Callithrix jacchus: one gene and its partners. The protein of the gene in region 1 interacts with the protein of each later gene in a pairwise test. Links are inferred from orthologs where the notes say so. Each region holds a gene or a part of one and is shown in the gene's direction. Other genes may lie near its edges.

What was found.
Region 2: the proteins of EEIG1 (region 1) and SH3GL1 interact in binary tests that used the Homo sapiens proteins (3 or more experiments, as listed by UniProt). The two-hybrid records come from large-scale screens. The link is inferred for Callithrix jacchus from reciprocal best matches to the Homo sapiens genes EEIG1 and SH3GL1.
Region 3: the proteins of EEIG1 (region 1) and SKAP1 interact in binary tests that used the Homo sapiens proteins (3 or more experiments, as listed by UniProt). The two-hybrid records come from large-scale screens. The link is inferred for Callithrix jacchus from reciprocal best matches to the Homo sapiens genes EEIG1 and SKAP1.

The regions. Positions count from the first base shown.
Region 1 is NC_133502.1:176,605,158-176,609,310, reverse strand, and holds the start of EEIG1 (early estrogen-induced gene 1 protein), read left to right. Parts: upstream 1-1,274; 5' UTR 1,275-2,110; coding exon 2,111-2,256; intron 2,257-4,153. UniProt on the Homo sapiens protein: Key component of TNFSF11/RANKL- and TNF-induced osteoclastogenesis pathways, thereby mediates bone resorption in pathological bone loss conditions.
Region 2 is NC_133523.1:4,108,018-4,111,622, reverse strand, and holds part of SH3GL1 (endophilin-A2), read left to right. Parts: exon of another isoform or gene 1-208; coding exon 209-342; exon of another isoform or gene 343-557; coding exon 558-716; exon of another isoform or gene 717-935; coding exon 936-1,039; coding exon of another isoform or gene 1,040-1,113; intron 1,114-1,621; coding exon 1,622-1,746; intron 1,747-1,968; coding exon 1,969-2,025; intron 2,026-2,511; coding exon 2,512-2,708; 3' UTR 2,709-3,605. UniProt on the Homo sapiens protein: Implicated in endocytosis. May recruit other proteins to membranes with high curvature.
Region 3 is NC_133506.1:117,853,363-117,857,411, forward strand, and holds the start of SKAP1 (src kinase-associated phosphoprotein 1), read left to right. Parts: upstream 1-1,154; 5' UTR 1,155-1,260; coding exon 1,261-1,306; intron 1,307-4,049. UniProt on the Homo sapiens protein: Positively regulates T-cell receptor signaling by enhancing the MAP kinase pathway. Required for optimal conjugation between T-cells and antigen-presenting cells by promoting the clustering of integrin ITGAL on the surface of T-cells.

The DNA.
Region 1 (4,153 bases):
GTTGCAGTGAGCCGACATTGCACCATTGCACTCCAGCCTGGGCAAAAAGAGTGAAAATTTGTCTTAAAAAAAAAGCAAATCTGACCAGGTCATTCTCTATCTTGACGTGTTTCTGCGTTTTCCTCCTTTCAGTCTACAAGACTCTGGGAGATCTGGCCTTTCCAGCCCTATCTCTTGCCCCTCTCTCAAACTGCAACAGTACAACCACGCATAGGTGCCGGAAATTCTGCGAGCACCAGGCTCTCCAGCCACCAGGAGAGTCTGGACTCTGGTGACTCAGGGCACGCATCCTGTGGATGGCTCGGGTCCCTTTGTTTGAGAAGTCTTCTGAGTCTGCGTCCCAACCCGTGTCAGGTGCCTCCTCTGAGCTCCCCTGGTTCCCTGTATGTACCCTGTTACAACTGTTACCTATAGATTTGTCGCTGCCTGTGTCCCTGTCTGCCCACCTGGTCTTGAGCTTGGGGCATTTGGAAAGGGCAAACCCACCAGGTTCCTCACTAAGTCCCAGCCTGGCTCAGCGGAGACTGCCCCTAAACATATGGGGACTGGATGAATGAACCACAAAATGCCGAGGGGCCTGGGAGGTACGAGGCTTTGGAGGTGGGCTCTGCCCTCAGAACAGCTAACGTAGTCAGTGAGATCAGCCACGCCGGGCAAGGAATTAAAGGACAACAGAAGGCTTAGATAACAGCTTGGAACGTTACAAACTGGGTCACAAGGCTGCGTGATAGACTGCGCCAGAGCCACCTCCTCGGCGAAGCCTTCCAGACGTTTCTCTGCTCAGTGCTGAGGGGCACTAGAGATTTCGGGAGAGCTAGCGGACCCGCCAGGGGCTCTCTCTGTGTTCCAGCTTTCTGAGAAAGGAGACTCGCTACCTTCCGGGCCAGCTTTAGGGTTCTACGAGCTCAAGTCTGGCGGGACCCTGGAAGCCCGTTGCAGCCACAAATTGTTTCCACTCGTCATTGTTTCTTCTTTTCTTCTGCTCGCGCTCTCCCGGCCCCGCCAACCCCGCGACCTCCCACTGCCTTACGAGGGGCCCTCTCCCTTCCCTCAGCTCCGCCCTGCCCGAGGAGGCGGGCCCGGCCGCGCGGCGCACCAATCCGAGAGCCCCGAGCCGCTCTGCCTCCCGCGAGTCCCGCCCCACGCCACCACCCGCCAATCGTGCCGCGCGCCCGCTTCACCGGGCAGCCCAATCGCGGGCGGGTTGAGCTGCCGGCGCCCCGCCTCTGCCGCGCTTGGCGGCGGCTCGGCTGGCGGTCGCTCCGGGCCCAGGCATTCTCCGGGCTCTGGCTGCAGCGTTGGGGGCGCAGGGGGCGGCGCTGCTGCTCGCGGTGTGCTGGGCGAGGCGGACGCCAACGGCCGGGCCGAAGGGCACCTCAGCTTCGCCGGGGCCCGCAGCGCGGGTCCTAGGACGAAGGAGGAGGCGGCGCCCCCTCTGCCCGGGGCCGGCCCGGTGCCTGCCCGTAGGAGACCCGCGTCCGGACGTTCCCGGCCCGCAGCGACCCCGACGCGCCTCCCGGAGAGGCCCAAAGCTCCCGGCCACCCCCTGGGGGTGTCCCGCTTTCCCGGGCCTCACCTGCCCTGGCCTCCCCGCACCCAGGTGCGGGGGCGTGAGCAGCGAGGGCGCCTCCCCCGGCCGCCAGCGGAGCGGGGGCGGGGCCTCCCTCCGCCCTCTGCCTTACCGGCCAGCCCGGCAGCCTCTCTCAGTCTCACCAGTCCGCCCGTCGCGCCCGGCCGCGCGGCGTGAGCTCCCCGGGGATCGCGGCTCGGGATGCTGCCCGCCAGCGCGGCCGCTCGCCCGCAGTCCGGCACCCCCGCCTCTGCCTCTGCCTCCTGGGCCATGCCCCGCTGTTTACATGCCGGTGAGGTACCCGGCCGCTCCGAACCCCTCCGAGCCCCGACTCCCCGAGGGTGAAGCCCGCCGGCCCGCTAACTGGACTGGTCGGTCGCTCAGACCTGGGGCCCGGGACTCCGATCTCCGCCGCCTCCGCCACCATCTGGGCGGGATCCGGCTCTGGTGTTTTGAGGAGGGGGTGTGGTGTACGGAAAGAAATCCCGTCCCTCCCCACCTTTTTTGGCCCTCGGGGCTTCAGACTCAGGGAACTCGCTCATGGCTTTCTTGATGAAGAAGAAGAAATTCAAATTCCAAACCACTTTCACCCTGGAGGAGCTGACTGCGGTCCCCTTCGTGAACGGGGTCCTCTTCTGCAAGGTCCGGCTGCTGGATGGAGGGGATTTTGTCAGCTTGTCGTCAAGGTAAGAGCTGGGGCCGTCGCGCCTGCAAGGGGGGCGGGGGCGGGGGTGATGAGCGAAATCTAGCCACTTGGCAAGTGTAGAAGGGCCCTTTGGGGCCGGGGTGGGGAGGGTCCGGGGGATTATGTGTGCCTGGGGCAGGTTGCACAAGGCAGAACTGGGCCTGAGGAAGTTGGCAGGGTGCCAGGCAGCCGCCAGCCAGATACCTGGGGGTCTAATCTTTCAGCTCCCTCTTGGGGCCCTGCCTGCTGCTTGCGATAGGCCCATTCTGCAGATTTGCAGGTACAGCCTGTCAGGGATTTGCACCCTAAGAGGGTGTGCAGGGGAGGGGTGTTCCAGGCCACCTTGTACCGGAACTGGCCTGTCATATGATTTAGAGTCCAGGCCAGCCACGGGTTCCTCGGCACCCCCAGGTGCCTGGGTAGGCCTGATGGCTGGCATTCCCTGGTCTGGCTGGAGGGAGGTGGCTGGATTTTGGCCTACCCAGCACCCTCCGAGTGACTGTCCTCCTCTGGCTGGCGCTGGGCTGCTTTGCATTGCAAATGACCTTGTCTAGGAGGCTGCTGCCTTCTCTGAAAGAGGCTCCGTTTAGTTTGGTTTTGTGTTGTTCGTCCCCATCCTGGCAGGTCCAGCTGCCCAGCTTATTGCTGAATGCAACTGAGTTCCTAGGCTGTCCTTTGCTGACCGGGCCCACCTGGGGTCACATCGTCCTGGCCTGTGTCAGAAGAGCCTTGGAGCCCTACAGATGGGGGTGTGACTTTTGACTCTGTTACTTTCTGGACCTTCTCTTCTGGAAAGTGGGCCTAATACAGGTGGAGAAGCTGCAGCAGCTAGAACTCGGGGCAGGCCGGACGCCATGGCTTATGCCTATAATCCCAGCACTTTGGGAGGCCGACATGGAAGACTCACTTGAGGCCAGGAGTTCAAGACCAGCCTGGACAACATAGGGAGATTCTCATCTCTCTTTTTTTTTTTTCTTTTTTGGGAGGACACAGTTTTACTCTGTTGCCCAGGTTGTACTGCAGTGGAGCCATCTTGGCTCACTGCAACCTCCACCTCCCGGGTTCAAGCAATTCTCATGTCTCAGCCTTTGGAGTAGCTGGGACTACAGACAGCCACTACCATGCCCAGCTAATTTTTGTGTTTTTATTTTAATTTAATTTAATTTTTTTTTTTTTTTTGAGATGGAGTCTCACACTGTTGTCTGGGCTGGAGTACAGTGACACGATCTTAGCTCACTGCAACCTCCACTTCCTGGGTTCAAGCGATCCTCCTGCCTCAGCCTCCCGAGTAACAGAGATTACAGTTGCGTGCCACCACAACTGGCTAATTTGTTTGTGTTTTTAATAGAGATGGTGTTTCACCATGTTGGCCAAGCTGGCCTTGAACTCCTGACCTCAAATGATCCACCCACCTCAGCCTTCCAAATGCTAGGTTGACAAGTGTGAGCCACTGTGCCCAACCTCTGTCTCTATTTTTAAAAAATTAAAATGAAATAAAATACAATACAGGCAGGACCTGGCCCAGTGCCTGGGAAGTGCTGCTTCCCTACCTGGTCTGCTCTTTGCTCCTTGGGCCTCCTTGTGGGCCCTGTTAGCCAGAGCTGCCTCACTGTTCTGAGAGCCCATTGGGTGTGTTATAGGTGGAGAAACTGAGGCCCAGAAAGAGGAAGTCAGTGGCTTGCCAGGGACCTTGAAGGAGTCTGTTGTTTACTGAACTTGGCCAGTTTGGGGACCTCTTGGATGAATCCAGAGGTCAAATGCTTTGCTGGGAGGAAGGGAAGGGAGGGGAACTGCACAGCCTAAGTCAGGTTTAGGAATCTGTTGTGGACCGGGTGGGGTGCCTTTTCTGAACATTGGCTCCCTGTTCTGCTGGGAGCTGCTTATCTGAGGAATTTGGA
Region 2 (3,605 bases), on another chromosome or scaffold:
TGGGTACACACCTGTGGTCCCAGCTACTCGGGAGGCTGAGGTGCCAGCATGGCTTGAGCCCAGTTGGAGGCTGTGGTTAGGTAGTACTGCGCCACTGTGTTCCAGCCTGGGCAACAGAGCAAGACCCTGTCTCAAAAACAGCTAAGGAGACTCTCAGTCCCGCGGTCCCAGGTCCACTGTGATGGCTTCCCCGACTGCTTCTCCACAGGTGATGCATTGCTGGATGCTGGTGAGTCTATGAAGCGCCTGGCAGAGGTGAAGGACTCCCTGGACATAGAGGTCAAGCAGAACTTCATCGACCCCCTCCAGAACCTGTGCGAGAAGGACCTGAAGGAGATCCAGGTGCTGCCCCTGCGTCAGCCCCAGGCCTGTCCCTTCGCCCTGCTGGGTGGGGCAGGCCCCGTTCCGCCACCCTTACGCCACTCCAGCTTCGGCACTGCCCTCTGGGTCTCGCTCAGGCAGGCGAGTGCCCGTGGTGCAGGGATGGTGGGTCACACCATGCATGGGGCAGACCTCCAGCTGTTGCCGATGTAACCTGTGTCCTCCACTGTCCCCAGCACCACCTGAAGAAGCTGGAGGGCCGCCGCCTGGACTTTGACTACAAGAAGAAACGGCAGGGCAAGATCCCTGATGAGGAGCTGCGCCAGGCACTGGAGAAGTTTGAGGAGTCCAAGGAGGTGGCGGAAACCAGCATGCACAACCTCCTGGGGACGGATGTGAGTTTCCGGGGCGCCGTGTCCTTGGGAGGCCAGCTTGGGGGCCTCAAGGGAGTTGAAGGATGGAGGTGGCAGCAACCTGGCCGCAGCAGCAGGGGCAGTTGAGGGTGCAGGGTGCAGGCCCCAGGCCCCTCTGCCTCCTATGAATCTACCTTGCAATCAGGGCGGGTACAGGACAATTGTGCTGGCAGGAGCCCCTGAGCCCTGCTGTCCCCGCAGATCGAGCAGGTGAGTCAGCTCTCGGCTCTGGTGGACGCGCAGCTGGACTACCACCGGCAAGCCGTGCAGATCCTGGATGAGCTGGCGGAGAAGCTCAAGCGCAGGTGAGCCGGGGCCCTGTGCTGCCACGCGCCCTCTGCCGGTGGGTGTGGGCAGCACACCTTGCTCCCGTGAGTGCCTGGCAGAACAGTGCCCGGGTCAAGTCCAAGTGCAGGGAGGGGCTGGTCCCCAGAGGACTGAGGGCTTTGAGGTCAGAGGAGCCAGGGGACTGAGAACTCTGAAACACCAAGCCCTACCCCCGACGCAGGCCCTTGGACTCCTGATCACGTGCCTGTCCCCTCCCTGGCTGTACTTTCTGCTGCCTCAAGGACACCCAGGCTCCCGTCTCTCAACCTGCTTCAGGGCCTTGGCATGTGTCAGGCACCAGCTGTGGTGGGAAAGCAGGGAGGAGGCAGGAGGGATGTGACTGGGGGCCCTGCAGGTAGAGACTGTAGCAGGACGCAGCTGCTCGCCAGCCTCTGAGGCGCCCCCAAAGTGGGGGTCCAGGCTGGAGGCCCTCTGGGTAGACATCCCAGTTGAGTCACGTTCCAGAGTCTGGGTGTCACCACCCCACTGCCGCCCTCTCCCGAGCTAGGTCATTAGGCAGTGGTGTAAACACAAGGGTGGGGCTGCCTCTCCCTTCACAGGATGCGGGAAGCTTCCTCTCGCCCCAAGCGGGAGTATAAGCCCAAGCCCCGGGAGCCCTTTGACCTCGGAGAGCCTGAGCAGTCCAACGGGGGCCTCCCCTGCACCTCAGCCCCCAAGATCACAGGTAATGGGGCGTGGAGCCATCTTCTGGAGGTGGATGCCAGCGGGTAGGGTGGCTGAGGGCTGGGCCTGTCTTGGGTCTCTGCACCAGGCCCCTGGGTACAGCTCTCAGCTCTGCTCCATCTGGACCACCAAGGCGGACGGCAAGGGCTGGCCCTGGCTTACTGCAGAGGAGGCCCTGCCCCACCATATTGAGCCACAGCCTCTGCGTTTTGCTTATGTTTAGCTTCGTCGTCTTTCCGATCTTCCGACAAGCCCATCCGGACCCCTAGCAGGAGCATGCGTGAGTGTCCCAGGCCCGCCACAGCCTCAGTGCTGCCTTCCACCTTCCACCCTGGTCCTCTGCCCAACCCAAGGAAGGAGACAGGCTCGGGCACAGGCCCACACCTTGCAACACGCCACCTCACTGTGTGAATGAGGAACTGCCATGTCCCTGCTGCTGTGACTGCCAAGGGCATCAGCCCAGCTCTAGGCTGTGTGGTGGCTTTAAGGGTTGAGGGTGTCTGGTCATTCCTTGTCACCCCAGCAGCACTGGGTGTCCCTAGTACCTCATAGGAGCAGCTGTGGTGACCACTTACCAAGACTCTCCCGTCCTCCCTCCTGGGTGGCAGTAGAGGCTGGACCCCAGAAGTGGCAGCGGGTGGCCTCCACCCACCCACAGGCTCCAGGCCACAGCAGGTCTGAGTTGAGACCCTAGGCTGGGTGGGGTGGGGTGGGTTATAGGAGCCCCAGCCTAGGCGCTAGCCCCACAGCCTGCTCCCGCCCCCAGCACCCCTGGACCAGCCGAGCTGCAAGGCGCTGTATGACTTTGAGCCTGAGAATGACGGGGAGCTGGGCTTCCGAGAGGGCGACGTCATCACGCTGACCAACCAGATCGATGAGAACTGGTACGAGGGCATGCTGGACGGCCAGTCGGGCTTCTTCCCGCTCAGCTACGTGGCGGTGCTCGTGCCTCTGCCACAGTGACTGGCCGGTGCCCACACCCTGCCCCTCCGTCCACACTGGCCGCCACCCCCTGCTGGGTCTCCTGCATTCTACGGGGTCCCTCCTGCCAGGGCGGTGTCCCAGCCTGTCGGCGCCCTTGAGGTACTCCCTGAGCAGGGCTCCACACTTGGGTTGGGGGGCTTATCTGCATGGCTGGGGATGCCTGTTTACACTAGTGCTGACCCTCAGTGGTGATGGCTCCCTTCCCAACTCCATGGCGCTGGCCGAGGTGGGGCAACACTACGGTGCTCTCAGAAACACTAAAGTTCCTCTGGGCGGTCCCCCTCTCCGTCCTGATCTCACGGGGGCCCGGCCCACTGCCTGCCCTCGAGTGCTGCGGCCTTAACAGGATGGGATTGAGTGTCCCTACGGGGTGGCTCAGACAGGACCCTGGTTTTTGAGACAGAGTTTCGCTCTTGTTGCCCTGGCTGGAGTGCAGTGGTGTGATCTTGGCTCACCACAACTTCCACCTCCCGGATTCAAGCGATTCTCCTGCCTCAGACTCCCCAGTAGCTAGGATTACAGGCACGCACCACCATGCCCGGCTAATTTTATATTTTTAGTAGAGACAGGGTTTGTCCATGTTAGGCTGGTCTCGAACTTCTGACCTCATGATCTGCTTGCCTTGGCCTCCCAAAGTGAGCCACTGCACCTGGCCTAAATCCTGCTTTTAAATCCCCTCCCAGCCTGGTGCTGGCGATGGGCCCTGGTCCCACTCCAGGGCCACTGTACCCCTGCCTCACGCACACACACTCCTTGTGATGAGGGCCAAGCACAAGGTCAGGGCAGAGGCCCTCATCACTTCCCAGGCCTGATGGCAGCTTGCAGCCTGGGGACAGAGGCCACCTGCGATCCTTGGGGTAGCTCTGCCTGAGGACA
Region 3 (4,049 bases), on another chromosome or scaffold:
AAACACTCACATGCACACTGGCATTTCCTTTTTTTTTCTTCTTTTTTAAGAGACAGGGTCTTGCTCTGTTGCCCAGGCTGGAGTACATTGGGGTGACCACAGTTTGCTGTAACCTCAGACTCCTGGGCTCAAGCGATCCTCCTGCCTCAGCCTCGCAAAGTGCTGTGATTACAGGTGTGAGCCACAATGCCTGGCCTCTTCCCTCCTTTTCTTGTATTCAACTCCCTTATTTTATCAACCATAGCACTTTGTACTTTTTTCATGGCAGTTGACCTATTTATTTTTAAAAAACCTCTTTATTTTGAGAGAATTGTAGATTCACAGAGAGTTTAAGAAATAATAGAGAAGCTCTGTGTACCTTTAGCCAGTTTCCTCCAAGGGTAACATCTGGCAGTATTACAGTACCATGTCACAACCGGGACTCTGACACCCACTGCACCTTGAATGAGGCCCTGTGATTTTGTCCTTCACTTTCCTCCCTTCCTCAGCTCTTGGAGGGAAAGGGTTTTTGTTCTCCTCACCCTCGGCTTTCTCCCTGAGTTACCGCTTCCTTTCCTCAGGGCCTTTCCAGCCTACAGGAGAAAGGCACAGTTTGGCTTCCTGCGTCCCTTGCTGCCGTGCTGCGGCGGCGATTCTCCCAAATGTTGGTGGCCTTATATTGTTCATTGGGACTTCCAACATTGTGGCTTCCCTAAGAGTGATGATCTGCCCTCCTTTCTGGGGATGGAGGTGCGAACTGGACGCCAATTGAGGGTCCCGGGGATTCATCTCTTCCTTGGATTCTGCCTCCGGGTACCCCTCAGGCACCCCGTGGTCCTTCACGTCTGCCACCGCGAGGCCAACTGTTCGGTGCTTTAGGATGGAGTCTCCAAAGCCGTGGTTCCTTTGAGCCTTGTGAAGTCTTCTGTTTTGGTGGGTGCTGGAGGGGCGCACCTTCGGCCTCTCAGGGTGCGGCGCTTCCGGCATCCCCATCCTTCTACCGCTGGGCCCCGGCGTGAGCGCCACGTGCACCCACGCCGCCCCGTCCCGGGCCCCCGCCCGCCGCCCGCCGCCCGCCGCCCGCCGCCCGCCGCCCGCGCCACTTCCTGACGCGCCCCGGGACCCACGGCCCCGCCCCGCGGCCGGGCTGGGCTGGCAGCGAGCGCGGCTGAGGTACAGGTGCCTCGCGGCGCAACCGGGTGGCCCTCCAGCCCATCCACCTCCCGACCAGGGCCCGCGCCCCGTCCCGCCTCGCACGTCGCCTCCCTCTGGCCCAGCCAAATGCAGGCCGCCGCCCTCCCTGAGGAGATCCGTTGGCTCCTGGAAGGTAACGCCCTGGCGCAGGCCCCCTCCTGTGCTGAGCCGAAGGCAGGAGAGGAGACACCAGGCCTCCCACGGCCGGGCTTTCTTTTCAGCTCCATCACTCACCTCCTTCTAGAACCTCAAGGTTTCTAGAGCCCTCAACTCCCCAGAGCCAGCTTTCCATCCTCTCACCTCAGGACCCCTTTCACTCCTTAGAGTCCCACATCTTCCTCGAGGCACCGCGGCGCCTCCATTTCACCTCCCAGGCTTCTACACTCCTTCAGGCCGGATTCTTGGTCCCCATGCCACCTGGCCTGGTCCTCCCCCTGTCCCTTCCTCCGAGGTACTCCCCTACATCTCTGGGTTTCCCGTCCCCCTCGTTCCCCAGCCCCGACTTCCTCACGTCTCACAGAAGACCCCAAACCTTCCTGCTTAGAGGCCCCTGCGGTTCTCCGGGGGGCTCCGAGGGGCTGGTGGGATCCCCATGGGCCAAGGCCCGGTGGCTGACCAGAATTTTGTCAGAGCGAAAACCCCGGCCCTCCCTTTATCACCCTGTAGACGTTTAGGGGTCTCACCCACCCCAAGGCAGGCTCGTTCCCAGTATGGCCTTAACTCCTTTTCTAGAAGTGCTCCCATTGTGGTGTGTCCACCTTCCAACTACAGGGTCTAAGCAGCGGTTTAAAGAGTTGCGGCCATCCTCACCAACACTCAACACACTCTGCCAACACTCCAAAGAGATACGGCAAAGAGACGTCGCTAACGGGCAGTTTCATCTGCTGGGTTTCATGGTGAAAGTCACTTTTACTTGCATTCCTGTGACTAACCTTCCAGGGAGGACAGAGGCCTGGAATCTGCAGTTGCATAAGGTCCCAGGAGGAAACTATTCAGAATTAAGCCTTTTGGCATCTAAGTTGACGTATTTGACACATATTTAACAGATGGCCTGCTCTGGGCAGGTCATATTTTTGGCAAGCAGTTTTTTTTTTTTTTCAGTTTCTCTCAATTTAATTGGTTTTATATCTCCATTACCTTGTTATCTCGGTATAAATGCCTCCTAATCAAATATTTGGCAAGTCCTTTTGGTCTCTGTTTGTAGCACTATTTCCATTCTGGATTGCCTCTATGTAAAAGCTGTCAACTAGATCTTTATTTTGAGGAGAGGTTTCCAAAATCCATTTTACTGGTGATGAGAATAAATCTAAACTTTGCGGGTAGAAAAGTATTTGCAGGGTAAAAGAGCATTATCTGGGTGTCTAAGAAGAAGCATTCCAGGCTTTCCCTCTGCTGTTGGTTTAATATTAGTCTTGTGAAGGAAAGCTGTAATTGTCTTTGGTTTCTAAGAGAAGGAACTGTGGCAAAAATTTAACTCTGTCCTTGCATTGAAAGATATAAAGTGATTATTTTTATTGGTATCTGTCATTTGATGAGAGGAAACCTATTTTATAAGCTTGTTAAACTCTAATTCAGTTTTTTGTCTAGCTTTGGTAGAAAATTCCTTTTTATTTTCAGAGGCTTGCAATGAAATTCACTCCTTCAGCATTTTTGATGTGCAGTTCTTTATTGTTCAGAACTGACACTTTGGTAAACAACTCATTTCTGCACCTGCCACCTTCCTTTAGCTTAGATTATTTTCTTGTTAGCTGACTGTTTTTAATTGAAGTCTTCAGATCTCCTTCTAAAGCAGAACCTTTGTTTGCTGACAAGTAGAGCAGGGTATGAATGGAGATTAATTGCATGTCACATACTTCTGTATCAAACTTGCTGTGTCTTAACAATCTCTGTTGGTGCTCAGGTCTTTAAAATATATGAAGGAGTCTGAAACTAAATTATAAGGAGCTTCGTTGGTTAAAGTATTTCTTTTAGGCTTTTTTTGTTTTAAGTTTGCAATTAGAACTTGAATCTGAAATAGAGAAAAGAAGTGTGAAGTGTGATTCATCCAGTGATTCTACTGAAAAATGTTTCAAGACTATGTTTTTGAAAGGTTCCTATAATAATAATAGCAACATGTTGGTTATAGGTTTTTATTTCTTATGGAACATAGGCTCTGATGTAGTACAGGAGCATTATTCATTGTGTTACAAATAATTTGTCGATATTAGAAACCCAAAATGGCCATGAATTTGTTGTTTCTTGCTATTTGTCTCTCCCATCACAAGCTTTTTAAGGTTAACTGTTGAAATTAGAAAAAGTGGAGGTCCTGACGTCTATATAGTTACTCTGTGAGAGGGAGTCACAGGATGTGAGGACTGCAACTCTAGTGCTGCCACATGGCTGTGGGGGTGGGATTTCCACAATGAATTATGACTTTGATAAACCAAGGCATAAGCATTTGCACAGTGATTTAACGCTGGATATCACAGTCATAACTTAAGCATTTATTTATTTATAACTACGTAAGCATAAGTGACAGGGGTATTTTCTGACATAATGTATGTGCTTTTAAGAATAAAATATGTAAAGTATTATGAAAGGTTGATAAAAAAATTTTGCATAATGAAAAAGAAAACAGAAATTCTCAAGGCCTAAAATGAATTTTGTTTAAATATAAAATTTTAAACATTGGAGATGTTTCACTTGACCTAGAAACCTCACTTCTAAAAATCTGTCACTGAAACTTAAAGGACATAAAGTAGTATATGCACAAAGACCTATCCTAAATATTAATGAGTTGGGAAACTCAGGGTGATGATTGAATGAATTATGGGACATTCGTCTTACAGAATATTTCGCAGCCACTAAAAAAGGATTCTGTGGATCTATATATAGGC